Linked DNA regions of Lonchura striata. The protein of the gene in region 3 interacts with the protein of the main gene of each other region in a pairwise test. Links are inferred from orthologs where the notes say so. Each region holds a gene or a part of one and is shown on either strand. Other genes may lie near its edges. The genes, in order: MUL1, RNF111, UBE2E3 and CNOT4.

Region 1 (7,620 bases), on a different chromosome or scaffold from region 3:
ATCCAGGTTGTTTCCCCCTATATACCCCAAAATCTGGGAGAAAAAAAGGAAAACCAGTCCTAGGGCAACTTGTGGGTGGCACTGTGGGGTCAAACCAGTGTAGAGGGACACCACAGGCCCCCTCCCCCCCTGACCCAAATAATGTGGGATCTGTAAATAAAGAAGCTTTCAGGGTGGGTCCACACCTGCCCTCTCAATATGAACACCAAGCAAGTAAACACAGTCCTCACCTCAAGTCAACGAGGGCAAGAATAGAAATTACTAAAGACAGAGGCTATCATGGATAGAAATCTTCCTCATTAGCACTAATTCCCTAATTGCCATCTCCCCAAAACCATACAAGCACTGGGAGCAAACCACACAGCCCATGTTTGCATCAAAAAAGATGAAAACCAGACAAATCCATGCATTTTTTATTATTTTGGCTGCAAAAACCTTCAAGGCTGTCGAGGCCGCGGCAGTGAGAGAGTGGGGCTGGTGCTGTCTGCCTGTGAAGCTGCTATTTTAAGGTTGTATTTGCTTCACTCAAACTGCAGAAAATCTGGGAAGCTGCTAGGAAATGGCTTCCCGTTTCCCTGCAACACCCCACTCTGTTTTTCTTCCCCAAGTAGACTAAAAGTGGGGGCACATGGTGTTATTTTACCCCTTTCTCCACCTCATTTTTCAATCCCAAGGCAAACAGAGCATCCCCAAGCCCAGGGGTCTCCCTGCTTTACATCCAGATGGTAAGAAAAAAAAAAAAAAAAAAGAAGGTGGAACTCAGGGTTTGAGCCAAAGGCACTGAATCCTGGAGCAGCCTCAGACTCCACTGCAGGGCTGAAACCTTGCAAAACCTCCCCAAAAATTCCCCCCGAGCTGTGCCATGGGGAAACAACATTCAATTTCTCCTGGAGAACAGCTGTCTTAGGGGGTTGGCCAGAGATAAAAGCAACAGGTTAAAAGCCAGCTCAGCCCAAAAGGAGAGGAGCAGCAAGGAGGTCTGACTGGCTTGGAAATAACAGGAGCAAAAGGGAGGTCTGGAAGAAAAAATGCCAGCAAACCTGCAGGATCTGCAAATCCTGGCACACACCCTTGTGCAACGTACTGCTTTGGGGGGAAAACCCCACCTTTTTGTCATTCCAGTGTCAGAAGCCATCATCTGACCCTCCCAAAATCAACCCCCCAGCCGGGTGGGAAATCAGGGAATTTCCTCTCACGCCGGTGGGTGTCGGCACCGGGGGTCTGGCGGCTGCATGGGGATGGGGGCTTGATTCCCCCCGGCTTCCAATCCCTGCCGGGGCACGCAGCGAGCGCGCACGGAGCCGGCGGGGGCCGCTCACCGGCGGGGGTCTCTCACCGGCGGGGGCCGATCAGCGTCGGTGACCGCTCACCGGCGGAGGTTTCTCACCGGCGGGGGCCGATCAGCGTTGGTGACCGCTCACCGGCGGGGGCCGTTCACCGGCGGAGGTTTCTCACCGGCGGGGGCCGCTCACCGGCGGGGTCCGTTCAGCTTTGGGGGCCGTTCACCGGCGGGGGCCGTTCACCGGCGGGGGCCGTTCACCGGCGGGGGCCGTTCAGACCAGCGGGGTCCGTTCACCGGCGGGGGCCGATCAGCGTTGGTGACCGCTCACCGGCGGGGGCCGTTCACCGGCGGGGGTCTCTCACCGGCGGGGGCCGCTCACCGGCGGGGGCTGTTCAGCTTTGGGGGCCGTTCAGCTTTGGGGGCCGTTCAGCTTTGGGGTCCGTTCAGCTTTGGGGGCCGTTCAGCTTTGGGGGCCGTTCACCGGCGGGGGCCGATCAGCGTTGGTGACCGCTCACCGGCGGGGGTCTCTCACCGGCGGGGGCCGCTCACCGGCGGCTCCCCGCGTGCTCGAGGAGGTGGAGCAGCCCACGGAGAGCCGCGTCCCCGCAGCCGCCGCCGCCGCTCCCGCAGCATCAGGCGCAGGCGGCACCCGGAACGCGGCGGCTCCACGGCTCCGCATCCTCCGTGGGCAGCCGGATCGGGAACGGGGCCGCGTCCCGCCGCCGGGGTAGGGGACGACACCCCCTGCGCGGGGGGTGCGGGGACACCCCCCAAACCGGCTTCGGGGCTTGGGGGGGTGGTCCCGCTGCTTGCGAGCGAGGCCGGCACTGGCGGAGCGGAGCGGAGCGGAGATGCTGCCCTGGCGCCGGAGCAAGTTCGTGCTGGTGGAAAATGAACGTAAGTGCAAAGGCAAGAGCCTGGGGCCGGGGCTGAGCTACGCGGCGCTGCTGGCCGGCTTCCTCCGCTCCTGCCCGGACCTGCTGCCCCAGTGCCCGCTGGAGCGCCTGGGCAGCGTCTTCCGCGGGAAGCGCCAGAAAGTGGAGCTGAACAAGGAGGACCCGACGTACACGGTGAGGTACCTGGGCAACGCCGTCACCCTGCACGCCAAGGGCGAGGGCTGCACCGAGGAGGCGGTGGGCAAGATCTGGGCCAAGAGCGAGGCGGGCGCCGGCGGGGCCAAGATGACGCTGACGCTGGGCCCCCACGGCATCCGCATGACGCCCTGCGAGAAGGGGGCCCGCCGGCCGGGCCACGCGTACCTGCTGCACCGCATCACCTACTGCGCCGCCGACCGCCGGCACCCCAAGGTGTTCGCCTGGGTGTACCGGCACCAGGTGAAGAACAAGGCGGTGGTGCTGCGCTGCCACGCCGTGCTGGTCTCCAAGGCCGACAAGGCGCGCGCCATGGCCCTGCTGCTCTACCAGACCTCGGCCTCCGCCTTCAACGAGTTCAAGCGCCTCAAGAGACAGAGCGATTTCCGCCACGTGCAGCAGCAGCTCCTGGGCGACGCCATCGTGCCCTTGGTGCCCCTCCGCAGGCTGCTCAACGCCAAGTGTCCCTACCGCCCGCCGGCCGAGCGCGCCCGCTGCGCCCCTCGGCTCAGCTCCATCCTGGAGGAGGAGGAGGAGGAGGCCTTCGGCGCCGGCACGGCCCTGGGGGACGCCGAGCGAGCGGCCGTGCTGCGGCTGGCCAGCGACATGAGGGGCTGCAGCCTGCGCGGGCCCCGCGCCGCCGTGTGCTGAGCCCGCGGCACCGGGCCCCGCGCCGCCCGCCCTGCGCCCCGGCCGCGGCTGGGCCCTCCTGGGGCACCGCTCCGGACAAGACAGCAGCTCCGCTCGCGGCGAGACCCACGGCGGGGGTGGGCTTGCACCCCGGGGAGCCCCCCGGCCCCGCACATGAACCTGCTCTCGTGCCTCCTCCGCAGCGGCCATAATAAAAAAGTGAATGTGTGTTTTCTGCGGTGTGACGGCGCCTGTGTCTTGCCCGGAGCCTGGCGGACGGCGGAGTTAAGCTTGGCTCTGAGGCAGTTTGGGGGGTTTATATTGCATTCACCCCCCGAAAGGCCAGCCAAGGAGGGGGGCTGCGGGGCCACAGTGCTTTCCTGCCGCACCGAGGGCGGGGAGAGCTGCTCTGCGTAGCCATGGCAACTTGATTTTTTAAATCTAGAGCCGGGGGGGCGGCTGTGCCGCCCACGTCGGGGAGCAGTGATGGGGTTTTGGCCCCTCGGACCCCACTGGAGAGCAGAACTTGCCTGCACCACCCCGCCACTCCAAATCAGCACCAAGGGCCTGAAGATCAATAATTTACAAAACATTTCTATTTTTTTCTTCCCATTTTGCTGCTTTCCCAGAATAAGCGATGGTAAGGAAATGGTGGGGGGTGGGAGTTGGGGTAGGGGGGGTTTGTGTCCCCACCAGCAGGGATCTGCCACCCTGCCATGGCCCTTTGTGGGGCGTGGGAAAAGGACTCTGCAAAGTGGGGCTGGGGGCTGCGTCCTGAGGCTGAGTACTCGCACTGGGGGGGCGGGACGTGGTGCTGCTGCCCCCCAGCCCAGTGAGGGGTTGTAACCCCTTCCCCGAGGGGCTATAGGGCTGGGATTTGGGGAGATATCCCCCCCCAGGCCAGTGAGGGGTTGTAACCCCTTCCCCAAGGGGCTATAGGGCTGGGATTTGGGGAGATATACCCCCCAGGCCAGGGAGGGGTTGCAACCCCTTCCCCAAGGGGCTATAGGGCTGGGATTTGGGGAGATATCCCCCCCAGGCCAGGGAGGGGTTGCAACCCCTTCCCCAAGGGGCTATAGGGCTGGGATTTGGGGAGATATCCCCCCCAGGCCAGGGAGGGGTTGCAACCCCTTCCCCAAGGGGCTATAGGGCTGGGATTTGGGGAGATATCCCCTCCTAGCCACGAGGGGACAGGCTTTGGTCTGACCACTGCCCCCACAAACTTATCAGAAGGGTGAGATTCGGGCTGCCCCCACCCTCTAGTAGGGGGGTACGGGGGATGCTCTCCGCCCACACCGGTGGCATTAGGATTTGGGGCCAGCTGCCAAGATCCTAAGGGATGGCTGCGATTTGGGGATGCTGGTAAGGCTGGAGTTTGATCCCCCCACAAGACCCCAGGGTGGGGGTGGGGTTAAAGGGGTGGGGAGGCTGCGACCTGTCCCGTAAACTCCCAGGGGTGGGATTCACTCCCCAGAGCCCCGCGGGGCCGGGATCCGGCCCCACTCCGTGCGGGGCGGCCGCAGTCCGGCTCTGCCCCCCGGCCTGGCGGACCGCCCGTCTCCATGGCGGCGCCGCGGCTGCCGGAGCGCCGCTCTGACGTCATCGCCGCGCGCCGGGCGGTTGCCGTGGTAACGGCGCGAGGCGGCCATGGAGGGCAGCGGGCGGCCCTCGGCCGCGCAGGCCGTGCTGCTGACCGCCAGCACCGCCCTCACCGCCCTGCTCTACTCCATCTACCGCCAGAAGGCCCGCGTGGCCAGCGGGCTCGAGGTGGGTGTGAGGGGTGCGACGGGGGAATGCGTTTGCCCGGGCGCCGAGCCGCGGCCTGGTCGCGCCGGCTGAGCCGCGGCCTGTGTTTGTTCCCCGCAGGGCGCCAGGAAGGTGCGGCTGGACGGGGACCTGCGCGCCCTGCTGCTGGAGGCGCCCGGACGCTGCGTGCCCTATGCGGTCATAGAAGGTAGGGTCGTCTACAAACACCGGAGGCTTATGTCCAAAAAGGAGACGGAGGAGTCCTGTGACTTTATTCAAATCAAGGGAGAGGTCATGGGCATTTCCCATGGGGTCTCTCAGGTTACTAGAGGATGCAGCCTCCTTTTTATTGTCATTTCTCTCTCTCTTTCTGTATTGGCTGAGGCATTTGAAAGGTACAGACTTCCTGAAATGCCTGATACCTAAGTCCCCCTTCTAATGTATAACCTCATCCCACTTTCCTTTTCCTTGGGTCAGTCCGTAGAATTCCTGTGGCATTTATGGTTCTTCCTATTCTTTCTTTTATCTCTCAGTATCTAGTTTTATCTACCAGCAGACCCACAGTTTGTTTGTAAAGACAAATCCCACATTTCTTTCAAACAGGACCCAAAGCAGTGTCCCAAATGGAGGAGGGGGGGCACATCCTGCCCCACAGCTGCTCCTCACTGGGGGATTTCATCCCCAGCTCCTCCTCCTGTGCCCATCAGGTCATCTCCCCCCTGCCAAGCAGCCACAGACTCCTGACAGCAGAAAATGTGGGCTCTCAGCCCTTTTGTCTCCATCTTAGAATTCTAGAATGAAAGAAGCCTTAAAAGTTGAAAGAGACCTTAAAGCTCATCCAGTGCCACCCCCTGCCAAGGGCAGCCACACTTTCCACTGTCCCAGGCTGCTCCAAGCCCCGTCCAACCTGACCTTGGGCACTGCCAGGGATCCAGGAGCAGCCACAGCTGCTCTGGGCACCTGTACCAGGGCCTGCCCAGCCTCACAGGAAGGAAAGGATTTCTTCCTAGCAGCCCATTGAAGCCATTCCCCATGGTCCTGTCACTCCCAGCCCTCGTCCAGGGTTTGTTCAGTCAGCCCTCACCTGGCCTTGGGCTCCGTTGCAGGTGTGGTGCGGTCGGTGAAGGACACCCTGAGCAGTCAGTTTGTGGAGAACTGCAAGGGCGTGGTTCAGAGGCTGACACTGCAGGAGCACAAGATGGTGTGGAACAGAACCACCCACCTCTGGTATGTGCCTGTGGTGCCCTTGGGGGGTCTGTCACCCTGAAACGGCCTCAGACATGGCCAGAGTGACCAAGTGCCTCAAAGCTGGGTCTCAAAGTAGCCCCCACAGTGACAGCTGCCATAATGGGGGTTTGGCTGATTTTAGAGCTGGATTTGGCTGATTTTAGAGGGGCTGGAGGAGAAGAGCACATCGAGTAACCCACCACGAGCTGAACACTGATCAGCCCCACCTTGTTACCCCACCAGAGGATGGTGTTTCCAAAAAATACCCACTTGCAGAACAGAAATTAATTGGATTTGGGCAATCCATACACCCAGAGGTCATAGAGCTGCTGAAGCAGAGCCCAGTGATGCAGTTTGATAAGCATTTGGCAACACCAAACTGGGATGTGTGACACGTGGTGCTTCTCCTCACAGGATGGTTTTTGGCAGCTGGGAATGCCACAGGCAGGTGAGGAAGAAGTAGGTGGGGATGGGGAAAGCCCCCACTACTTGTGGAGCACTGAGATGGGGGTGGAATGGCCTCGTGCACACCTGGACAGTGCCATGAGGGGAAAGGTGTTCTCCAGAGGCCCCCATCAAAGAAGCTCCACTCAGGCATGTCCCATCTGGCAGTCCCCAGACCCAGCAGGTGATCCCAGGCAGTGTTTCCCACCAGGGGCAGTCATTCACTTCCCCCCTGCTCCCTCCCCAGGAACGACTACGAGAAGATCATCCACCAGAGAACCAACACCACCCCCTTTGACCTGGTCCCTGCCGAGGACGGCGCCGGCGTCACCGTCCGGGTGATGAAGCCTCTGGAGGCTGCCGAGCTCAGCCTGGAGACGGTGTACGAGAAATTCCACCCGTCTGTCCAGTCCTTCACCGACGTCATCGGCCACTACATCAGCGGGGAGCGCCCCAAGGGCATCCAGGAGACCGAGCAGATGCTGAAGGTGGGCACGGCCCTGACCGGCGTGGGAGAGCTGGTCCTGGACAACGCCACCATCAAGCTGCAGCCCCCAAAGCAGGGCATGCCCTACTACCTGAGCTCCCTGGATTTCGAGTCCTTGCTGCAGAAGCAAGAGTCCGGCGCGCGCTTTTGGAAGATCCTGACGGTGGTGTCGGGCTTTGCCACGTGCGCCGTGCTGTTCTTCCTGCTGCGGAAGCAGTACCGGCAGCACCGGGAGCGGCAGCGCCTCCGGCAGATGCAGGAGGAGTTCCGGCTGGCCCAGGAGCGCCTGACGAACACCGAGGGGGGGGAGGTGCTCAAGAACGCCTGCGTGGTCTGCTTGAGCAGCACCAAATCCTGCGTTTTCCTGGAGTGTGGCCACGTCTGCTCCTGCCACGAGTGCTACCAGGCTCTTCCCAATCCCAAAAAGTGCCCAATCTGCAGGCAGGGCATCACCAGGGTGGTTCCCTTGTACAACAGTTAACTTTTTGTGGTTCCCCGGGGGGAGACTTTGGATTTAAAGCTGCCACTGGCAAAGCGGTTTTGTCGCCTCACTGCTTGGGTGGTGGGTTTTGGGGAAGGGGAGGGAGCTTGAGGGAGTGGGTGCTTCACCAGGGGGGCAGAGCTGAGTCTGAAAAGGTGACTCTGCAGCTGATCAGGGCTCACGCTATAATCTGGGGGTGATTTTGAGAGATGATTCCTTGCAAAGGGTGAGG
Region 2 (7,442 bases), on a different chromosome or scaffold from region 3:
TTGAATAAGAAAAAGAACTATTAAAAATACTGTCAACAAACTAGCTATTTCCAAGTAATTATATACACCACACCTTCTTAATTATATGGCAACTTAAATACTTAAGCTATCAGATAATCTCAGAAAGATACTGTGAGACCTTAGTAGGAGTTTGCATAATTTTTAAGTCATGTGTTGTGAAAATGCTGTTTCTAACCTTACAGAGCCTTATCTGGCTGTACAACATGAAATCAAATGAGTGACTGGTAGGTCAGTTCCATATCAACATTATACTGTAATGCAGGGTATTTTGTTTTCCCATATATCATAAAAATATAAATTACTATAAATTACCTGAGTGGTGCATGTTATTTTCCAGAGCTTTTGAAAACTCTTTAATTGCATTCAAAAATTTCCATCAGAAAATATATAGCACAGACAACCATCAAGTTTTATTTTTGATTCTGCAAATGATCATTCTTTTCTTGTTTCCTAGTAGAAATTTATCATAATATAAATATTTCAGGACTTTTTATCTTTTCCCTATTTCTCCAATATTCATGGTTAAGATCTTCATCTGGGCTAACTAGAGCTGTGACTGTTTATCATCCAAGTATCAATCCCAGAGTTTTTTTGATCTAACACAGAAATGTTTCTGTATTATCTGGTTTTCTGTATCGTCCTCACAACATACTACAACTTTACATTTTATTACTATTACTAGTAATTGTAAGTTGCCTTAACTCATGCAAGCATTTAAATATATGCTTGAGTATGGTCCGTAAACGGCAAGGATGGCCCTGGCTGCAAGTGACAGCTCCACCAGCAGTGTGCGTGTGACAGATCCACACTCCTGGCTATGGGCGCAGGTTTAGAGGTGGACACCTTCCATGCTGTCACAGTTTTAGAGGTAGACCCCTTCCATGCTGTCCTGGCCACGAGCAGGCTTCATCCAGCCCGGCCCAGAGCAGAGCCAGCTCTCTGGGAGGCTGTGCAGCTCGGCCCACGGGGCTGTTGCAGAAGCTGCTGCTCACCCCTGGAAAAAGCTGTGCCTTGTTCCATTCTGGGCCAGCAAACTGCTCCAGCAGCCCTGCATGAGCTGTGTCCAGCCAAGTAGACAAGCTGCTGAAGGCACCTCAGGATAACTGGGTTACTCTTTTTAGTCTTTTTGCCAAAAATGTAAAGTGCAATCTTCTGCTGGCTGGCATGTTTTGATCTTGGATAAGATAATTTCTTCTCCGTGTCTTTAGTTCTGCCAGGCCCTGGGGTGTACATATAAATGGTTTTGTTCAGCTGTAGTTAGAAGAAGTTGAGGAGTTCAGTATGAACTGATGACATCATAGCCTGAAAGCCATTCTGAAATTTGCATTAGTGATTTAGACTTATTCAATTTAATCTTTTGGTTTTCTGTACCTAAAAAGTGTGAGAAGGAGAACGTTTTGGTTTGTTCCAAGGAATCAGTAATCTAATTTCAAGACAACTGTCTCTGCAAGATACGAAGATAATGGCAGAAAAAACTTCCATGAAAGGGCATAGATAGAAGGTTGGTTTTGTTTTAATAGTGAATAATTCTGGGCACTTAAGTATTTTCTACATCACCTTTCTTTAAAAAAGACGCTAATAACCAGTCAATAATGGACAAACTAATTTTTATCAAGAGTTTATTAAAGGGTGACTGGCCCACAAATTACTAGATTCTTGTCAGCTGGTGGTCCATATTGAAATAAGTGTTAGGAAATCTTAGCCAATAAAGATCCTAGAAATTCTGCCTTTATATTACAGAAAGGTCCACAGATTTGTACCCAGTTTGAACATTTACAGATCATTTGGCCACTGTGACTTCTCACTGGGACAAAATCAAGACTGACTATATTTGCATTTTAATTTGTGAACTGAAAACTTTATCCATGATTTTTGTTTTTGAAATGATCTTTTGTATATCTTTCAGTTGGTGAGCAGAGAGTGACTCTACATTTTCTCTACCAAGAACTACCCTTCTGTCACCTTTGACACAAGAGTTCAAACCAATTATTACGTAAATGGGTAAATACGTAACTAGTTGGTAAGGTTTTTTATTGGTATAGTCTCTCATCAGCTTATTCACAATGCTCCTGTGTCTCATTTCTTAAAGCAATCCAGCCAAATTTTATTAGCTTCCTCTCATACAATCTATACTGTTTTCTTGAGTGTCCCACTAAGATTAGAGTTAATCTTCCTTGGATACATATTTTAAAAAAGCTGCAAGACTACATTAGGAATAATATTTGCAATAGCACTGAGACCTCTCTCTCTTAAAATTATTTAAACAAAATTATTATAGAGATATATTTGCTTTTTCATGTCTACAAAATGTTGTTGACTGATGGTCATTTACTTAATTACATTGGTAATTGAACTTCGCATCCAGCTGCCTTTTACCTGATAAATACCCAAAACTTTTGGTCATTAACATTCAAGTGCACATTCTTTGTATTTGATGTTTTTTTCACTTTGCTTCTATTAGTCCTCAGGGTCATTTACTTCTTCCCATATATTGTCTTGATTGGTTTTTTCCCAGCTGATTTTTAGTAAAGTATTCCAACTTTGGATCTAGTGCTTAATGGAAAAATATTAAAATTGCTTACACAGTCAAGCCACTGGTGACCCCCATGGAATGATAGGACCTTCCTCCCACTGTCTGTTGCTGTCTTCACATTCTCCCCAGTTTCACTGGTTATTTCATCTGTGGCTCGGTGTCTGTGTTTACTTTTTTAAAGTCATATATATGACTTTAAAAAAAGAAAACTACCCAACACCACGAGAAATATGTAGAGAAAGGTAGACAATTAATGTTGGAAAACCTGTGTTATTGTCTTTATTGCAAACTGAAATTAATTGTTGCTCTGCTCATGGAACCACATGAAATAACCTGTGATCCTTTTTGCATTTTGTACACTTTTGGATATATATTGAAGTAGAGTCTAATTTCCATGTTGTTTTATCCACTTTTGCTTTAAGGAAATTCTGTTCAGAAACTCATGCAATTATTTAATGAAATAACATGCATTTTTCCCCAGTGACCACTTCTTTTGTAATGATGCATGCAGGTTGTTTAGCTCCTCCAAAACACGTAGGATCTGCTGTGTATTGATGACTCTCTGGTGCAGTGCCTTCTGAGTAAAATCTCTAACTATTTGTAGACCAGACTGTACCTGTCTGCTCCAAAGCCTCGGGTTTGTGTAGCTGCTGGTCACGGACAGTATAGGACCCCTGTCTATGCAGTGTTTCAATCTGGAGCTGGAATGTGTACCCTGACATTGATGAAAGGTCATCTCTGGCAGAGGTATCCTGGCCTCTGGCAGTTGCAAAGTCAGCAGACGCTGAGGCTTGCTGCTGTCTGAGAGCCTTCCCAAAGCCTCGTGTTTGCTGTGCTGTCCGTGTCACACACGGCCGCTGTCGGGACAGGTCCTCACCGTTTGTGTGCACATAGGAATGCAGCGGGGAAAGGCTCACCTCATCCCGACTCTGTGCAGTAAAGACAAATAAACTCCTATTTCTAACGAGCTGGGATGGAGAGTTGGGATTTGCCGGCGTGTCTTCGCAGCCGCAACTGTCACTGGCTGCAGGACGGGCAGCCGCGAGGTACTGCGGTGCCAAGGGAGACAGCGCTGGGAAGAAAAGGAATGGTTCTGGACAGGTGCTAGAAGGGACATCGCAGAGGGGCAGGCTGGAGCGGCCGCAGGGGCTGCCCCGCTGCTCGAGCCGGCTCCCAGAGCCCCCGGCGCTGGACAGCGTGCTCCCGCTCCCGGGCGCTCGCTGCACCGCCAGGTTCTTCCTCAGGCCGGCTGGGACGTTCTGGGCGTGTTTCTGCCATTGCCTCGTGTCCCATTCCTCGGCACCGCCGAGCAGAGCCCGCCCTGTGCTCTGACACCACCGCTTTACAGATTTACACACAACCGCCTAAAGGCAGCAGCAGCGACGGCAGCCCGGGCCGTGCCGCCGGTCCGGGAGCCCATCCCGACGTGCCCGCTGCCCTCAGGAGCCCATCCCGACGTTCCCGCTGCCCTCCCGAGCCCATCCCGACGTGCTCGGTGCCCTCAGGAGCCCATCCCGACGTGCTCGGTGCCCTCCCGAGCCCATCCCGACGTGCCCGCTGCCCTCAGGAGCCCATCCCGACGTGTCCGCTGCCCTCCCGAGCCCGCCCTGCCCCGCGCGGTCCGGACCCGCGCTGTGGCGGCGCCGCCGGCCGGCAGGGGGCGCGGCGGGAGGCGGGGCGCGCGGCGGCGCGGCTGCGCTTTGCGGGCGGCTGTAAAGCAGCGCCGAGTGTCGCGCGGCGCTGGGCAGGGAGCGGCGGGGGCTGCGCCACAACAGAGCGGGGCCCGCCCGGCGCCGCGGCCGCACCGGGACCGGAGCGCGGCAGCGGCCGCACCGCCACAGCCGGCACGCTGCGGCCTCTCCCGGCGCGCCGGGCAGCGCCGCGGGGTCACTGCGGCGCCCACCGGGGCCGCTTCTACCGCTCGGCCCTGCGCAGGGCGCCGGCGGCACCCGCCCCTTCCCCCGCGGCCTCGCTGTCTCAGGTACGGGGGGCGGCGGGGACCCGCGGGTGGGGCCGCGGCCGGCGGGGCGGCCCCGCTTCCCCGCCCGGCACTGACGGCAGCGGCGAGCGGCGGGGCTGTGCGGCGGGGGGGAACTTCACGCAGAATGTGTTTTTCCTTTTTTATTCAGCGCCTCGTTGACGCACAAAGCAGTGCCTTCACTGCGGGCAGCCGCAGCACTCTCTGGGGTTCTGTCACAAATTTGTCACAAATTTTCCCCTTAGGGAAATGAGTTTCTATTTCTGTGCGTAATAGGGTCTGTTATGACGTCATTTGTTTTGTTTGCGAAGTTAGTGTTCTCTTAACCCATGTTTAAAAAAAAAAAAATCACAATTTTCAGGTGGTTTTTTTTGCCTGATGAACAAGGAAGTAACGTTCATTCAGAAATGTAGGCCGGGATCTTCAGAGGTACGTAGGCTTGTCACTGTTGCAATGGGCAGGTGTTAAGGGTATGTACTTTTCAAAGTGTCTGTGTTTCTCTGGTTAGGGCTGAGCATGCATTCATGGAATTTTCATGTTGTTAGACTAAGCTCTTCCATGGCTTGAAATTATTTCATTAAATCATAAGCAAGGCCTGGTTGCTTTAGCTGATTAAATGAGACCCTTAATTCCTGATACCCAAGTACTTCTCCAGAAGAGGATGTAATGCAGGAGGTAAGAGTTTGCTGTAATTAGAATAATTTGATTCTAATGCAATGATTTCAGAAACAAAGGTTTGAACAAAAATATAAGAATTGACTGTTAATTGTTGTAGACCTGGGTTTGTCATGGTATCTGTATTATAAACTATTAAAGGAAAGCTGTGTTTTCAGGTGCAGTATAAGGTCTTACCTTGTCTTTGTTGTAACTTGCAGAAAATTCCAAAGGTATATAAGTGCTGCATACTTAGTAGAAAGCTTTTTCAGGAAGACTAATATTTAAATAGTTACAATGCTTTGCCAGTTTTAAAACCAGAAATTACATCTTGTTGGTCACATATCCATAGTTCTTGCTGTCAGAACTATTTAAGCAATTTAAGTGTTTTTGCACTTAATTTTTTTGGATAAAGGAACTGTCTTGGGGCAGGGAGGGAACAGAAGCAAACCCTGTTAGGATGATGCTTGCTGATGTGCAAGGATTGATAGGGAAAGAAGTGATCTTGGTTTATTTGATAGAGCAAACATCTGGTCACCTGTCCTGTGTACTCATCCACAGTATAGAATCACCTCTGGAATTCATAAGGTAGGAAAGGCTGTAGGAACATTTTATGGTTCACTTTAATTAAATAATAGTGCACAAGGCACCAAGCTTCCTATTTTAAAGTCTTGAAGTCTCACATATGTAAAAATCTGTTTTTTATTGATGGTTGAAGCCCTGGCAGCTACAGATGAGATTGTCTGGTATTGGAAGCTTGAGGATGAGCAACAGCTCACAGCATTCATGCATATTTTGAATGTGCTTTCAAAACATGGATGAGAGCATTCTGACCTTTCAGGAATATAGCCTTTATGAAGCAATGGCTTTTGTAAAAATGTATTAAAAATGTATCTTAACACAACTGTGACTCACAGTTTATATTTGAATTAGTGACATTGTTGACCTACATAACCAGATCAGTTATAGCAGTTGATTTTCACTGGAGTTACTGTGTTGCAGTAACATTTAGATGACAGCAGTTGCTGCCTTTTTTTCCCAAGGTGTCCAATCTTTCATTTCAGTTTTTTGTATTTCTTCTAATGGTGAGGACAGTCTTTTCAAAAAAGATAGAGGTGATAGTTCCCTCCTCCATAGCTGATGTATTATAGAGGCTTGCATGTCAAGCAGTTGAATAAATAGGGAAAAATTGAGGGGGGAGTGTGATGATGGGATGGGGAACATGATGATTTAATTCACAGGTAAACAATGGGGATTGTACAGAGAGCTAGATTTGCCATAGGCACATGTTGTATAAAGGGTTCCTCATGGCTTTCCTGATGTGCAATCTCCTTTAAGTGAGTTGTCAGCAGAAGTTTGGCTTGGTAAAAGAAACATTTTCTTTTCTGCCTTTCCCTCTGCCCCATTAGGGTTCTCTGCTAGGCCTGACCTGAGCCCACAAAAAAACCCCCACCAATCTGTACTTAACGTTGAAAAAAGTTCACTAGTTAAGACTTCAGTTGTAGATACATTTTGTTTCTTACAAGAGCACTGTAAACTTTGAAAGTGGCTACACTGACAAAACTCAGGAGACTTCAACTTTGAGCAGCTATCCTATCCTTACCTTGTACATGTATCCAATACGATATTACTCAATATGCATGTTAATAAATCTCTTTTCAACCTTACTGACATACAAAGAGCCAAACCACTACAGATCTAGTGACAAAATAGTATTATTTTGTTGTTTTATATAGTTTATGCTATTTGGAAAAGGAATTGCTCTAAATTAAAATTATATCTTCCTTACTAAGTGTTCACCAAGTGAAATCTGAGAAGGCTGGTTCATGGCTTTACTAGCAAGAGGCCAGTAAGGGCAATCTCTTTTTTTTTTTTTTTTTTTTTCCCCAATATAGTTTAATCCTAATATTTGACTGCTGTTAAGTAAAATGTTTACTTTTGTCTCTGCTGGGTGCAGAGTGGAGAAGTCTGCTGCAGTGTCCTTTCCCCTGAAACTGGTAGATCAGTTTAGTATCTATAAAATCTCCTTCTTCCCATAGGTTTCCTGAAAAACAGCATAAAACTGCCCTAATGGTTAATTTCACAATTCTCACTTGAAAGGTTCTTACTAGCAGCTGTGGCAAAGATCATGTTTAACTTTGTTCCTCAAAGCTTTATTGAGAAGTGTTTGCAAAATGCACTACATCAAGAAGAATTACACATACCTCAAAGGTCAAAAATGGGACTAAGAAACAATTTTTTAAATAATTTTTGATT
Region 3 (7,937 bases):
ATTAAGACTTCTCATAAGAGCAATACTGTGAATTTCATGCAAATAGCAGGCCTTAAAAGGTGAGCTAACAGAAACTGCTCTGGATGTCCTTGCATTAACATCACTTGCATTAACATTAAATAAGTTCAGTAAGCCTACTGAATTATGTGAGATGCATGGAATTACACTTGCAACAATTAAATGAAATAAAGACAATATGGGAAAATTCAATGTCAAAACCCTGTATCTTAGGCTTGTCAAATAAAAGACAAGTAACAACAAATTACAAGTGCTGCACAGTAGTTGCAAAACTTTTTTCTCTTTAGCCAGTCCTATTTCAAAGGGTTTCTTTAACAAGCTCAAAAGTCATCAAAGGCATGCAGCCATTCTCTGCAACAATTTTAACATATTTCAAAAAGAATTTACTAAGTTTAAGTCCAATACAAAATTACTAAAGTGCTCATAAAAGTCAGAACTACAATAGTTACGCTGAATAAGCAAAATTTGAAGCTAACTACAGCTATTTTTCAACTTTTCTTGCTACTGGATACTTGTAAATGTTTTCAAAGAAAAGCAACTCCAAGGAAAGGACTGGAAAGTTATGTTTCATCTCCAAAGACAGCCGGAATTAAAGAATTTAAAGTTTGAGTATTTCACACAGCTGATCTTTGAGAAAATTACCAGAGTAATTCCTGAGAGCCCAGCTGCCAATAAACTTATATGCAAATGAAAGTGCAACCAATATAACTAAACGAGGTTTCTGAAGATTCTTATATTTAAAGGCAGAGGCTACCTGTAGAATGTCACAGGTTTAAATCCACAGCTCCTAAGGGAGAAAACTCACCTAAGTTTCTCCCAGGAGAATGGCAGAATGAACCCATTCCTTCAAGGTGTGTAAGGCTCTCCTGTGCATCATCATGAAAAGCTCTCATAAGGCCCAGAGAAGCCACTGGGGTTTTATGACTTCTTTAATTAGACAGCATTGCCTGTCATCAGTCTACCAACCATAATAAAATATTCCAGGAGGACTCCACCCTATACCAATCAGGCATGGAAACCTAACTCAGAAAAAAGCACCAAAGATCTCTCACACATTTTTGAAAATACAAAATGTACCTAGGTGCCCCCCTCCCAGTCACCCTGTAAGTCACCAAGTTCTGCACCAACTCTTCAAAAGACATAGCACTATTCTGTTTAACTGCTACCCCAACAAGACTTAGATTAATTAAAACACTGCTTAGCAGGCTCCTGTCAACTACCAAAGCTGATAGTACATTCCCTTCCACACAGCTTTACAAGAAGAATGCCTCTGCCCTGACAAGCGCAGTGCAAGTACTGTGACTCCAACTATGTGCAAAAATACTGCAGGACGTTTCACGCCCTCCTTTACCTTTTTGCACTAGTAGATAGTTTAGCAGTAGTTTTGCTGGATAGTTTGGTGTTCTTCTTCTGCTGAGTGGCAGAGGGCTTTCGTTCTTCTTGCTCTTCAGGTTCAGGTGCAGGCGGATCCCTCTGATCGGCATCTGAACTACCACTGCTGGTACTTGGACTTTCATCGTCTGACCTCTGCCTATCACTGGACATCGTGGGGAACTTTTTGGGGAAAGAAAAGAGACAGAATTAATACACAAGGAAGGACTCTCTCTTGTCATTCCCCAAGTTCCGCTGACCTCTGCCTACCATTGGACATCATGCAGAACTTTTTTTGGGAAGAAAAGAGGCAGAGTTCATACAACAGGCAGGACTCTCTCTTGGTATTCCCCAAGTCCCAGAAAACTTTGAATAGGTGACAAGTCAGTTTCAGTGAGAAATTAATCAAAATATACTTCTTTGTCTCATACACAAGGGCTGGAGTTTGACAGCTACAAAGCAATATTTACACTTCTGAAAATACAGATATTTCCAATTTTTAAACCCACTCACATTTTTTTTCATACTTTAAACAATATGCCAATTGTCGACTTTGTTTAAGGCATGAGACAGATTTAGCAGAGTACTTAGGCAATGAGCATTAATAACTTATGACACACTGTAAATAACAGACCTCACTGAAAATGTTTTTTAAAAAGTCACTAATAACCCGTAAATATTTACACTGGGACAGAGCATTTTATTGGGTCCAGATCCCCCACTCTTCCCCTCTCTCCGAGAAAATACACTGCCAGTTACACTTGGGTTGATTTCAGATGGAAATGTACACTTGCTCTGAGCATTTAAAGGGCTGGCACGCGGGGGAACGAGGTCTGGTTTTTTATCGGTGGTAGGGCTTTTTTTGGTAAGGGGAAAAGCCCCGCGACGCATTTAAAGCCACTGGGGTAGCAGCAGCCCCGGTTATTTACATGGCCAGCAGCGAGAACTGCATTTGGCCACCACAGAGCTGCCGGAGGGGGAAGAAGCATAATTCAAACTGCACCTTCTGCACGGCTCTCCCCGCAGCTCCGCCAGGCAGACCGACATTTTTCCGCCGATCGGGAAGGCGGGGGGGCGGGGGGGAGAAGGAGGGGGCTGCCCCGGCGGCCGGGGGGGCCCGAGGAGGAGCGGCGGGAGCTGCGGCAGGGCTGGATCCGGGCGGCCGCCCGGCCGCGCTTTGTGGGGAGCGCCAGCCCGCCTCGGCTCGCCTCGGCTCGGCGGGCGGCGGCGGCTCGCCCGGCCCCGCTCCGCACCGTGCGTGTGCACCAAGTGAGGCGTGAACTCGGGCCGGCCCCGCGTCCCCGGCCGCCGCCAGGCAGCGAGCGCCGAAAACAAGAACAAAGCTCCTCTACCAGCCCCCCCGCCTCCTCCCCGCCTCCCCCCACCGCGCTCGCCCAGCCGCCGCGGCGGCCGCCTCGCCCGCCGCTCCCTTACCTTCGCCGGCGTCCTGTCCCGATGCTGGGTCGGAGGGGCGGGATGGCGGGGGGCCGGGCCGGGCCCGCGGCGCCCGAGGAGGGGACGGAGGCGGCCGGGGGGCTCTACGGCGGCGGCGGCGGCTCTGTGGCCGGGCAGTGTGGAACATTGAGAGCCGGAGCAGGGGGGGACGGGGGGAGGCGCGGTGCGGCCCCGCGGCCGGCGGGTGGCGCTGGCGGGCCCCGCTCTGCGGCGCGGGCTCCCGCGGCGGGCCGGGAGGCCGGGGCGGGGGGCGGCGGGCGCGCGCGGCGGAGCGGAGGCGGGGAGGGGGCCCGGCCGCCCCCCGGGCTCTCCCCGCCCCGCCCGGGCTCCCCCGCCCGCCCGCGGCCGCCGGCGGAGCTCCCGGCGAGCGGGGGAGGGGAGAGGGGGCGCTCGCTCCCGTCTGCCGGCCGCCGGGGTGCGCGCAGGCGCGCTCCCGCCGCGGCCGGGGGCGCGCGTGCTCCGGGCCGGGCAAGGACAAAGCGGCGGCCCGGGAGCGGGGGGGGGATCGCCCCTCGATGGCCGCTCCGCCCGGCCGGGCGCCTCCCGCAGCCCTCAGCTGACCCGGTCCCGGGGGCTCCAGCCTCCGGCCCGCCGCGGGACTCGCCGGGCCGGTGCCCGGCAGAACGGCGATGCCCGGGGGTCGTGCGGTGTCCACGGCCCTCGGCCTCGCACCTCGCACGCCTCGGCTCGTGCCGCGCGCCCCGCGTCAGGCCAGGGACACGCGGGAATGGGACCCTCGACCCCAACACCCCCAACGCCTGCCTTCGGCTCTTGGAGCTGGAAAAACACCGGCCACCCTGCAGCCTCCCCACTCTGAATAGAAGTATTCACCATCACAACCAGGGCTGCTCTGCGAGCAACCAGCGCGCCAAATCACAAATGTTTTAAAGAGGAAAGGGGATAATTGACAACAATTGTGGTGTCACAGAAAGGTGCTATGGTACGGAGATGCAGCTTATTTTCTGGCCCGTCCCAAATGCACGGTGCCGGTGTGCGCTGAACAGCTTCTCACACTATCTGTCCATAGCAATCCACCAATTTAGGGAATGTAAATACTCCAGTTTTAGAGCCTGATCACGCTGGCGTTAAATTCCAGTTTCTTTAGAAAGATCTTATCTATCTGGGAAAAGTAGATGAGGTTGAGCTGGTGGATTACTGGCTTCTGCAGAGAAGAAATTAACAATTACTATAAATATTTGTGAAATGTACATGAAATCTCAAGGCTAACAGTTGCTGTCCAGCACAAGGGCTTTTGCCTAGATAGCTTTCATCATCAACAGCCTAATGACTTAAAACTGCTGTGTTTTCTTAGCTTGTGCAAGATCAAGGGCTCAAAGAGCATGTACCATGCTCTAGAGGGAATGAAGAATTGGTGCGTCAAGGAGTACCCTTCACTGGCGTTAGCTGAAGTTAGCTCATGCTGAAGATTTGGCAGGAAAGTTGAATAATACGATGTAGGGGAATACTGGAGGTTTGTTTCTTAAAGTAGGCTATAGAGAATTCCCAGCTCACCACTACAGGCAATTTGCCCCTGAGGTATGCTGTATAAAATTCCTAGCATAAACAGTATCTGGCATGATGAGCAATCTGGGCATAATTAGTAAAAGGAAAGCAAGGCAGTATCAAAAATCTATCAGTCAGCACTGAGAGCCTTTGCCCCTCCCCTCTTCCCATTCTGTTGATGATGCTCAAGATGAAGCTTGCTGGAACTTTGAAAGTCAGGATTAAGTCTTTAAAATTATTTCAGGTGAAAATTTGCAGTCATCCCAAAAAAAAGTAGTAGAAAAGTGTACATCTACAGAATGAAAGTAAGTAGATTGGCCAAGAGTTGCACACCACATCAGCTACATGTGTGGCTTTTGTGGCTTTCAGGATACAAAGTGAAAATTAAGAAAGCCCGTTTAATGGAGACTAATAGAAAAATTATTCTAGATTTTATTTTTTTTCCCAGCATTTTTTACTATTTTAAAATGAATTTACTACAGCAATGTGTGGACATAACAGATATTTATTTGATTGAATATTCATTAATTTGACGTCAGGTGTCAAAGGATGACACTTTGTTCTTATGAGGTTGTATTTTCCTTGGGCTCATTTGTTATTCACAGAAAGAAAATGTTTTCTTTCTGTGTTATCATCCACATAAAGAGGACTGCACTGAAAGGTGCAGTTTGAAGGAGAGGGAAAAATGCCAATTTTAGTAGTTATTGTTACAAATCTACACCTCTGTGATTTTTCATATCCCTCATAATTTGCCTTCAGTGTAATTTTAACTGATGTACAGAGTCATGAATGTGTTTTCTCTGTCAGTTTATTGTGTGCTCAAATTGTGGAAGTGCAGCTGGCATTGCAGAGCCTTCCCAAGGAACTCCTGGGCACTCAGGCTGAGGCCTACATTTTTTTCCCAGTTGCCTTTCTTGTTTGTGTTTTGTTACTTTTGTTTTCTTTGGGTTATTTTTTTAGAAGCCCTGTTTGCAAAGGTGGTAGATTGGTAGCTGGTTTTTTCAAAAGCCCAGTATCTTTTTGGGTCTGTCTTCCTCCCTGTTCTGTCAGAGCACAGATATGAAGTTTCTGTTAGCACACAGAGGTTGAACAGTTGCCTTGGACTGCACAGACTTCTGAATATATTTTTCTAGATTTAGGAGTTCACAGCTGGGTCTCCTCCATCTGACATGAAGTTCTTAGATAGCAAACAATGGGACCAAAACTAGGTGAAAAGCATTTGGATCTCCTGACCCAAATAATTTTAAGGGCGTACAGGTGGTAAAATAAAGCCAGCATACATTTTTCATGATTAAGAGCAGTTCAACTCAGTTCAACAGTTTACAGTTGTGTACTTCATCTTTTTTATTAAAAAGTCATAGTTTCCTGACAGTAAATTCATCATCTAGAAATGCATCTCTCTGTCCTAAGTGTATTCCCATTCCAGGTTGTGTTAAAGCCCCTGCTGGACCCCTACTACAGCACCCTACTGCAGTGCTACAGATAGATGTGGACAGGCTGGAGAACCAGGAAATGAACAATTTATTTTTTTTTTAAGTGGATGGGGTAAGATTTAGATTGTGTTTTTGTTTGTAGGTAATGTCACAGTAGAAACTAGTGCTCTTTGTAAGGTAGCTCTTTTTCAAATATTCAGTGTGTCTTGTCCCAAGACAATTGACAGTTTTAACAGAGAGTTCTAGGAAAGCAGACAATGCAAAAATCTTGGGCCAAGAAGGCATGTAGTGACTTACAGAAAGGAGTACAGGAAGCCTGCAGTAGCTGCAGCTCATCCTGTTGTGCCTTCACCATAACTCTGATTATTCTTACATTGTGATGCTGTGGATTCTTTGGGGTTTATGAAGGAAAAATAAGCCCCTAAAGAACAACGTCCCTACTTCATTTGTGTTCTCAAGAATTTACAAAAACAGTGGAGGTAAGTTTTTGAGAAATAAAGTCAATGTGGCAGTGGACAGGAACCAGCCATTAGAAAGCCACATCCTGGTCCCTTTGTCAGCTGGTATTCAGCCCATCTGTTAGTTTTGTGTTGCCACCATACAAAGTTTGGCATGGGAATATGGTGGAGGAAGGATTGGAAGAGGGCTGGGCGGAAGAGATGAAGGCAAGAGCCAGAACACTGCTGTGCTTCAATTGTTCTTGTTTGAAGGATGACTTTCTGGAGGCTGCTGTAGCTCAGCAATAATCCTGAGACTGCTCTAATGCAGCCTGTCATGAGGCCTGGAAGTTGGGATTCTTACAGGACTTTTCAGGATATCTTTCCTTCTCTGAATCCTTGCATGATTGAATAAATCAGGAAGAGAATTTTGCCAACTTCTTTTAACACAGGAGTTAGCTGTTTAGCTGGGATTTTTTTATTACATTGAATACTGCTAAATCCATAGAATGTATCTAAATCCATAGAAAAATACTTAGCATGCACTAAAGCACCACATATATTAATTAATCTTCATCATAATCCTAAGAAGTAAACCATAAGTCCTACTGTTCAGCATATGCTGTATTTGACAGTTGTATATTACACACTGGAAGGCTAAATGGTCAGTTGGCTACTGGTTTTTAATGGGCAGACTAGCATTAGGTACTTAAAAACATAACAGATAAATGCATGGTTTCAGAGCACAGAGTAACGTGGATATGTTTGTATTAGGGTGTTCCCATGGAGTTCTTGTGTTCTGTTTTGTAAATTCTTTCCTTGTATGTGGATTATTGATGCAAGTTAGAAACACAGTGGCCCCTTTGTAGTTCCTGTAGTCATTCATATGAATTCAGTGCAGTGCATGTCAAATGAATATCAGTGCTTTAAAAAAATCCATCCTTTACTTTTTGTTGAAAGCAGCTTGAATTTACCAGCATTTAATTGCTGTAGTTTTCATTTTACTTGGAAAGCTTTAGGAAAAACAAGAAAATTAGAGAAAATTTGGGTGGAGTTGTTCTTGGCTACTGGACAAAAGTAATTTGACTTTCGTAAGGATATTTCCCTCAATAGCTAAGCATTATTTCATCTGTAAGCAAGAGGATTTTTTCCTCTTTTACAAATTTTAATTGTAAATTTCTCCTTGATGTGTAGATATGTGTAGTTATAGTTGTGTTAATGCATGTAATTTTTAGTGCAGTGTCTTGAATATTTACTACAGTAGAGTAAAATGTAAATACAGACTCTACCTGTACCAAAGTGTGAGATCAATAGGTCTATAAGTAACATCATAAATTCCATAACATTATTTTGTGGTATATATTCAGCAGTATAGTGTGTAAATCATAAGCTAGGGAGAGCACAGCTCTACAGATACAACTCTGGCAGACCAGCATTTCTGGGCAACTTTCGGTATGAAATCTGCCCCTTTTCTGCTCACAGGTGTAGTAAAATTGTGTTGTCATTCTTGGTGTCTGATAATCTGCTATGAAAGCTGTAATAGTGAATAATGTTGAAGGCCTAGTGAAAATTACATTTCCCTGTTACAAATAGAGACATTCCACTCCTAAACTATCTCAGATTGAATTATGTGTAAGTCTACACATAATAAGTATATGTCTTAGTGCTATCTATATACTGCTTAGATTTTAAACCTTTGGCTCTGTAAAAGCTCTGGCTC
Region 4 (7,340 bases), on a different chromosome or scaffold from region 3:
CTTACAGGAAGAACCAGAAGGTAGGAGCAACAGCTCAAGCCATGCCAAACCATTTTCTGCTATACTTAATTTTCCAAGTCTGGAAAGCATTTACAGTTGTTAAAATGTTAACCAACTTCATGAAAGGAATAAATTCATAGACTATTCTCCAAGAAAGAGAAGAGGGTGGCCCAGAGGGATGGGGAGTCTATTTACTCATAAAGTTCTATCTCCTCACACTGCTACCATCCAATAAAAATGTGACTAAGCAGGTAGAAAGATACACACTGAAAAAAAAAAAAAAAAAAAGAAAAAAAGAAGAAATAAAGCATGTACATCTTAAAAGAGAGAAAGCATTCAGGACATTGAAGCAAGTTAAGTTATGGAGTCTTTCACATATGCACTTACTCAAGTTATCTCAGCAATACAGCATAACTGCAAGTAGGACAAGAGGTGGTTTGTACAACCTAAGGCACTATTCACCGTGTGAAAGTTTAAGAACCCTTGACTCTAGCAGTCTTGCTGAGCAAGTAACTTCCTTTCACCATGTGTTAAAGCCTATAGATCAGCCTCATCTTACCAGAGCAACCAAGGCCCAAGATGCAATCTGTAATCAGCCACTTAACAGTTACCTGTGCTTACAGAGTGGTCCATTTGAAATAATCTCATTTATTTCAAAGAGGCAGGTGAGATTTTGAGCAGTAGTTGCCAGAGTTAAGCCTTCAGGGCCCATATTTAGGATCTTGGTCAGAGCTATTTCAAAAACATTTAACTCACAAAGAATATCCTAACTTCTATGAACAATAGCCACAAAGGAAAACGGGTATTTTTACATACAGATTATTTTGAATTAAACAAAAAAGCCATGTACTTGTATATACTCTCTCACCAGCCTTTTTAAGTTTTTTTATTTAGTGGGCACTGTAAAGATATTCTTAAACTTTCTGAGGCACCAAGAAACTAGTAGAGCACTAATCCTGACAGACACTCATCACCTTTTCTCTGTAAAGAGAAAAATTGTTAGGATCCTCCAGTACTCCTAATTTTAAAAACAAATGAAAAGGCATCTAAGAAATATGCAAGCTAAAAGAAGACAAAATTTTATCACTGTATTCCCCCTTTCCAAAACAATCTTTTTCCCTAAAATGAACTTAGTTTGCACTTCAGCCAAGTATTTCTAAACATGTGTTCATCTTGTTTAGGAAATGGAAACTCTATCACAGAATTCCAAAAGCCTAAGGTGCAGCACAGCTGAATCCTAGACCACAAGTTAGATCTCTACATTAATACAGAGGTGCTACAAAACTAGCAGTATATTTGACTATTTGTAAGCCATATGAAACTAATTCACCCTCTTGAGTCAAACAGCTGTTTTATTCCCTGCTCTTCATAAGCCTGCATTTTATTTTTCTCCCTTTTTAAGCAGTAAAAGGAGCTAGAAAACGTTTCAATCTTCCACATATTCATCCTTCAGTATGTGTGCTCTTCTGTTAGTGCCAGACACCATGTTTACATGAATATGAACTCAAAGTACAGAGATGCTCAAGTCAAGACATTTCAAAACTAAACCAAAACACAGTTAAAACACAGCAAGTTAGAAATGTGTACAGGCTCAGTAAACATGTGACTAGTCAACATTAACTCCTAAAACTTTTGGACAGGAGTAAGCCAATATCTGCAGGTCTAGAATTTCCGCAGTTTTAAGCAGCTGATAGATTTTTCTCACATTAATATACACTCTGGAGAAAATTGCTTCTCCTATGAACAGCATACTTGGTATTACCACACTGACAGAAGCATACAAGCCACGGACAATTAAATCCTTTCTGGCATAATAACGAAGCATTTTAAGATAATTATCTAGTATTTTCCCTCCCCTTTTACTATACATACAAAGGCACTGGCTGCTCACTTTTAAACTGGCAGGTAGAGCTGTAGGACCCTCGCTAGAAGCAGGATGAGCACTCATACATAGTCTTGTTATTTGCTTCTGTTAATACACAAAATGGAAAGAGCTTCTAGAATTTTTGCAAGCAGGAGACGGAAAGTTACATACCAGTTATTTTACTGACAGACAAATCTCAGGAGGTTGCACGGACTGTCCAAAATAACACCAAAATTAAGACGCTGCTATTCACCATCTGTTTGCCTCTCCCTCAGGAAAAAAAGTGCATATCACAAGAAGAAATGGAGCCTGGCTCCAGGGAGGAGGAAGAAGGGAAGAGAGGAAATTTCCACGCAAATTCTAAGTGAATCACGCTGCGATGCCCGCGCCTGGCCGCACCGGCCTGCCCCGGCAAATGCGAGCGGTTCCGGGGCCACCGTCCCTCCGCCACCCCGGCCGGTGGCCCAGCCCGGCCCAAGGGCTTCCCGGCGCCGGAGATGGGGGTGAGGAGGAAATAAACACAGCTCCTCTGGGCAGCGACACGGACGGAGCCCCTTCCACGGTGCCCCCAGGGAGGAGGAGCCGCCCGCTCGCCCCCGCGCCCTCCCCTCACGGCCCGGTGCCCTCGGCGCCCGGCAGCGGCCCGGCGCGTCCTCCCGTCGCCGGGGCTGCACCGGCGGGTGGGCTGCGGCCTGCGCCGTCCCAGCGAAGCCTCGGCGCTCTCGTAGTCAGAGCGGCCCGGCTCCCCCCCGCCTCCTCCTCGTCTCTCCTTCCCTCCTCCTTCCCTCCCCGGCCCGGCCTTCAGCTCGCACTCACCCGCCTTCCTCCTGCCTGCCCGGCCCGCGGTGCCTGTGCGCGGCTCTCCCTCTCAGGCTGCCCAGCGCGGCGGAGGCGGCCGGGCGGGTGGGTGAGCGAGCGTGCGGGAAAAGAGGCGAGGGGAAAAGGAGGAGAAGGGTGGGGAGGGAAGGAGAGAGGCGGCGAGGAAGGAGAGAAGCGGAGGGGAGAAACCCACAGCGGTGCTCCTGGGGCGGGACGTGCGGCGGCGGCCAGTCGGGCGCTCGGACGGCTGCTCCGACGACCTTTACGCGAGGGACGGGCGATCTCCGAGCTCGGGGCGCTCCGCTGCCAGCCCGGCCACCATCTTACATTGGGGAGACTTGCCCCGGACGCCGCCCCCGCTGCGCGTGCGCTGCCGGCAGTGGGCGGGGAGCGGCGCGGGAGGGGGACGGGGCGCGACGGCAGCGGCCGCGACGGCGCGGGGCATGACGGGACTTGTAGGCGGCGGCGCTGGCCCAGGCAGCGCGGGAGGAGGCAGAGGTGGCGGCGATCATCCCGGAGCGCGGTCCTCTTCCGCCGGGCCGGGGAGCCGAGCCCTCCGCCGGGCAGGGCCGTCCCACCGCCCTGCTCCGGGAAGTCCCCGTCCGTAAACTCCCTGCAACTTCAGCCGCCTGTTGCTGGACATTGAACCGCGCGGTTTTCAAGCAGTGGGTTGATTTCTTTAAAAATATTATTTTCCTGTCATTGGTGTCCCTTGGAGTTTTTTCCCCCCCTGCCGGGTCGAAGCGATCCCGTGTAGCTCCCCGTCGGGCTTTGCCGGCTGTTGGCTACAACGCCGGGGGCTGTGTTCTGCCGGGAGCCTGGCGCGGCTGCCAGCGGCTCGGTCGGGGCTGGCCGCGGCTCCGCCAAAGCCGGCCCCGGCGGCTCTGCCCGCGGCGCCCGGCCCCGGCGGCTCTGCCCGCGGCGCCCGGCCCCGGGCGGCTCTGCCCGCGGCGCCCGGCCCCGGGCGGCTCTGCCCGCGGCGCCCGGCCCCGGCGGCTCTGCCCGCGGCGCCCGGCCCCGGGCGGCTCTGCCCGCGGCGCCCGGCCCCGGGCGGCTCTGCCCGCGGCGCCCGGCCCCGGCGGCTCTGCCCGCGGCGCCCGGCCCCGGGCGGCTCTGCCCGCGGCGCCCGGCCCCGGGCGGCTCTGCCCGCGGCGCCCGGCCCCGGGCGGCTCCGGCTCTGCCCGCGGCGCCCGGCCCCGGGCGGCTCCGGCTCTGCCCGCGGCGCCCGGCCCCGGCGGCTCTGGCTCTGCCCGCGGCGCCCGGCCCCGGCGGCTCTGGCTCTGCCCGCGGCGCCCGGCCCCTCGCCCGCCGGCAGAGCGGGACTGCGCCCCGCCACAGCCGGCCGGCCGCGCTCCCCGCCACCTTTCCCACCCCCGCGCCGCCTCCCGCCTCGCCCTCCTCGCTTGATTCTCACTTTTTATTTTGTAGAAACTCAGGGAAACTGCATTGCTTCTATCCCCTCTTTCTACCACAGACACCCTGTGCCATGGATCTGTTCAAATTGCACCTGTATCCCTCTTTTCTGTGATCCCCGATGGTGCACAGAAGACCTCATCACCTCAGCTGACAGAGAGTGCTTTTACTGATCGCCTTTATAGCTCTCTTGTGGCTTTTCTGGCCTGGCATCCTTAGCTCTCAGGACAGCCAGCCTCATCGTAGATGTTTAATTATCAATTATCTCCAGTGCACAAACTATTGCTATTTGTGCCATGACAATATTCGCCTGAGAATTTTACTTATTTCAGCAGTTCGTAGGACAAATAGGTGTTCATCACCAAATGCACTGGCACAACCATTACATTTAGTGGCATAGATTCTTTTTCTCCTGTAATTTTGTTTCTTAGTTTGAAGTATTATACTACTACAGTTTTGTACAAGTTGCCTCTTCAACTAAAAATGTTTGTGTTGACATAGCTTATCTTCTTCTGAAACAAGTTAAGGTTACCTTGTGCATATTAAATTTTAGACTGATATATGTATCTCCCCCACAGGAAAGCTCTATAAATCAACTCTTGCTGTAGGCAAGACCCAGGTCAGCATAAAAGACTACTGTTTGCAGCAGTAGTCTTGATATGTGAACTCAAATGCATGTTATTCAGAAAACAAAACATAATATGGAACACAAATGCCTATATATGTGAGAAATCCTGTTTCTCTGCATATATCTTAGACTGTAACATATACTTACTATATCATGTAAAAGTATATATAATGTAAAATGTAAAAGTAACTAGTCAGTATATATTAATCTAATTCAGGTGAATGTATGTATATAACAATGTATTTCTCAAAAACTTTATTATTTTTACATTTTCCTATCAACTGATATATAAACCATTAGGTTCCAGAAGTACCAATTATGTAAGTAATTTATATAAGTAATGTGATTGTTGACACACCTAATAACCAGCAACGTTTCCTATTGAATAAAAGCAAGTATTCTGACTTGGAAAGAAAGGTTAAAAATAATATAAATGAAAGCTGTGATTTTGAGTCAGAATTGAGGCTGTTAATATTAAGTGAATTCTGTGCTTTCTTTTAATTCAGAATTAAGGAGTCTTTCCCTTAGTAAAATTCTGTTCAAATCATGTTGCCAAGACCTACATGAACAGATAGCAGCAGTATCCAATAATAATGTAGGAAAAAATCTACATGACTGAAGACTACTCTGGCTGATGTTACCAAAAGTTATCCATAGCCCTGCTTCCACCTCTTATTTAATCTGGTAAAAATAATTCACTAGGTCATTATGTGGCCATTTTAAAGTTTTAAGATGTCCTTAAATTAATTCTTTTATTAGTTGTAAGTATTTGTAATTGCTTTCGTAAGATTACTTAACCATATTTTGTCACCTTATTTACTCTTGGAAATGTTTGGGTTTCTTTTTTTGAATGAGTCTGATAACTCAGCAGGACTGTTTCTAAGAAATCATTTCCACATTCATAAAGAAAAGCTTTTGGAATACATTTTCTTGGAAATAACCAAGCACTAGCTAGAGTAAAAATGTCTGTTCATATGATTGATTTATATGATTTATATTTTGATTTATATGATTTATATATGATTTATATTTTGCTTTATGGCAGCATGGCAGCACTGGTCCATTTCTCAGGAATGTCCCTTTCTTGCATGAAGTTTGACCAGCAGTCACAAATAGTAATATTTGAGGCAGTGCCCTGAAGTTTGGGTTGGATGTGCTGATACATATAACCCATGAGACAATATTAAGGAGGGAAAGAGGTGGTACTCAAAAAAAAAAAAAAAAAGTGTGCATCTGGAGGAGCACACACATACTGGAATTGCGGTGGAAGCCATCAGCATTCAGCAGGAGAGATTAACATACTTGATCCAGATGATCTTGTAAGAAAAGAGGGCACTCAGGGGCCAGACAGCAAAGAAACCTTATCACATTATACAATGAGGGAAAATTATTCAAATATGGGTAGAATCCTCTCATAAACTGGATACAGGTCATAGCTGAGAGCTAGTGAGCCTGGGTTTCATCCATGCAAAAAAAGAAAGTCCAGCCACTTTAAAACAATCGTTACAAATATGCTCAAGCCAACTTATCTGAAATATTTGAAGTAACATCCCTGTGTAGGCAGGACTTCATTATGTTACTTATTATTGTTTTCAGGGAGTCATCACCTGCTCTTTAAAGCAAAACATACATTATGAGACAGAATGATTGCTCATTATTGTTATATTCCTTAATTGCCTTCTATATTAGTGCATTCAAAGGAATGTATTTTTCCTCTTCTGTCCTTCTCTGCCTTCATCCAACAGCACTCAGCATTTTCCAGAGCTCAAAATTGCTCACATTCTTACAAAAATGCCTCAGCCATATGCGATTTGCTGAGATGAAATAAAAAGTGCATGACTTGAGAAAATGCAATACTTTCTCCTGCATATTGATTCCATGGCTGCTGTATAAACAGGAACTGTCCATTACAAGAACTTCCACTGACTTTTTCTTGTGTTGGAACTCATGTTCTGCATAAGCCAGGTGTGACAGGAGCTCACCTGTCAAGAAAGTATGACGTTGCATTAAAGGGTTGGCATGAACTTTGACGCTTGTAAATATATTGCGCCAGCCAAGCTCCAGCTGCAACCTTGCAATTTTCCAGACAGATATATTTCCTTTTGCCAAAAGGAATGTGAGCTACTGCAGCTAATTTTATGCTATATAAATAATGCTGATAGAGAGACAAGTCTGAGATTAGATAGGCAAAGTAATAGCTTAAGTAGGAAAGTCAAAGCATTTATTAATCAGAAATATGAATTATGTTCCTTAAGGAGCTGAGGGAACCAGCTGTAATGAGGACAAATGAGAGATCTGAGAATAATTAGATCAGTTTTGCATATAGGCAGCACTGTAACTGAGACTCTTTATGACAGAGATGCTTGTACAGAGAAATTTGGCTCTTATATTCTGATAGAGAACATTCCATCTTAGCTTGTGCTTGACACGCCGACAGAAGGAAAGGAATGTTGTGCTGTGTGCCTTGTGCTGCTCTGCCCTCTTTCCCCTCTGCTCCATCTTTCCCCTATCACTCTGTACCATGACTGGACCAGGCCAAGAGCCACTATGGGTCAGGAACATATCCACAGGGATCAGGGACCAAGCTGGTATGCTAACCATATTTTATAGATTAAC

The links.
Region 1: the proteins of UBE2E3 (region 3) and MUL1 interact in a two-hybrid assay, tested with the Homo sapiens proteins (2 studies listed by BioGRID and IntAct). The link is inferred for Lonchura striata from reciprocal best matches to the Homo sapiens genes UBE2E3 and MUL1.
Region 2: the proteins of UBE2E3 (region 3) and RNF111 interact in a two-hybrid assay, tested with the Homo sapiens proteins (2 studies listed by BioGRID and IntAct). The link is inferred for Lonchura striata from reciprocal best matches to the Homo sapiens genes UBE2E3 and RNF111.
Region 4: the proteins of UBE2E3 (region 3) and CNOT4 interact in a two-hybrid assay, tested with the Homo sapiens proteins (3 studies listed by BioGRID and IntAct). The link is inferred for Lonchura striata from reciprocal best matches to the Homo sapiens genes UBE2E3 and CNOT4.

The regions. Positions count from the first base shown.
Region 1 is NC_134626.1:7,632,559-7,640,178, reverse strand, and holds the start of MUL1 (mitochondrial ubiquitin ligase activator of NFKB 1), read left to right. Parts: upstream 1-4,619; 5' UTR 4,620-4,650; coding exon 4,651-4,770; intron 4,771-4,869; coding exon 4,870-4,957; intron 4,958-5,855; coding exon 5,856-5,976; intron 5,977-6,667; coding exon 6,668-7,388; 3' UTR 7,389-7,620. Other genes in the region: protein FAM43B, read left to right, coding at 2,134-3,024. UniProt on the Homo sapiens protein: Exhibits weak E3 ubiquitin-protein ligase activity. E3 ubiquitin ligases accept ubiquitin from an E2 ubiquitin-conjugating enzyme in the form of a thioester and then directly transfer the ubiquitin to targeted substrates.
Region 2 is NC_134613.1:10,560,191-10,567,632, reverse strand, and holds the start of RNF111 (E3 ubiquitin-protein ligase Arkadia), read left to right. Parts: upstream 1-4,427; 5' UTR 4,428-4,535; intron 4,536-4,647; exon of another isoform or gene 4,648-4,961; intron 4,962-7,442. UniProt on the Homo sapiens protein: E3 ubiquitin-protein ligase. Required for mesoderm patterning during embryonic development. Acts as an enhancer of the transcriptional responses of the SMAD2/SMAD3 effectors, which are activated downstream of BMP.
Region 3 is NC_134610.1:23,812,249-23,820,185, reverse strand, and holds the start of UBE2E3 (ubiquitin-conjugating enzyme E2 E3), read right to left. Parts: upstream 3,015-7,937; 5' UTR 2,824-3,014; intron 2,445-2,823; exon of another isoform or gene 2,393-2,444; intron 1,573-2,392; 5' UTR 1,564-1,572; coding exon 1,370-1,563; intron 1-1,369. UniProt on the Homo sapiens protein: Accepts ubiquitin from the E1 complex and catalyzes its covalent attachment to other proteins. In vitro catalyzes 'Lys-11'- and 'Lys-48'-, as well as 'Lys-63'-linked polyubiquitination.
Region 4 is NC_134607.1:56,511,374-56,518,713, reverse strand, and holds the start of CNOT4 (CCR4-NOT transcription complex subunit 4), read right to left. Parts: upstream 3,005-7,340; 5' UTR 2,681-3,004; intron 1-2,680. UniProt on the Homo sapiens protein: Has E3 ubiquitin ligase activity, promoting ubiquitination and degradation of target proteins. Involved in activation of the JAK/STAT pathway. Catalyzes ubiquitination of methylated RBM15.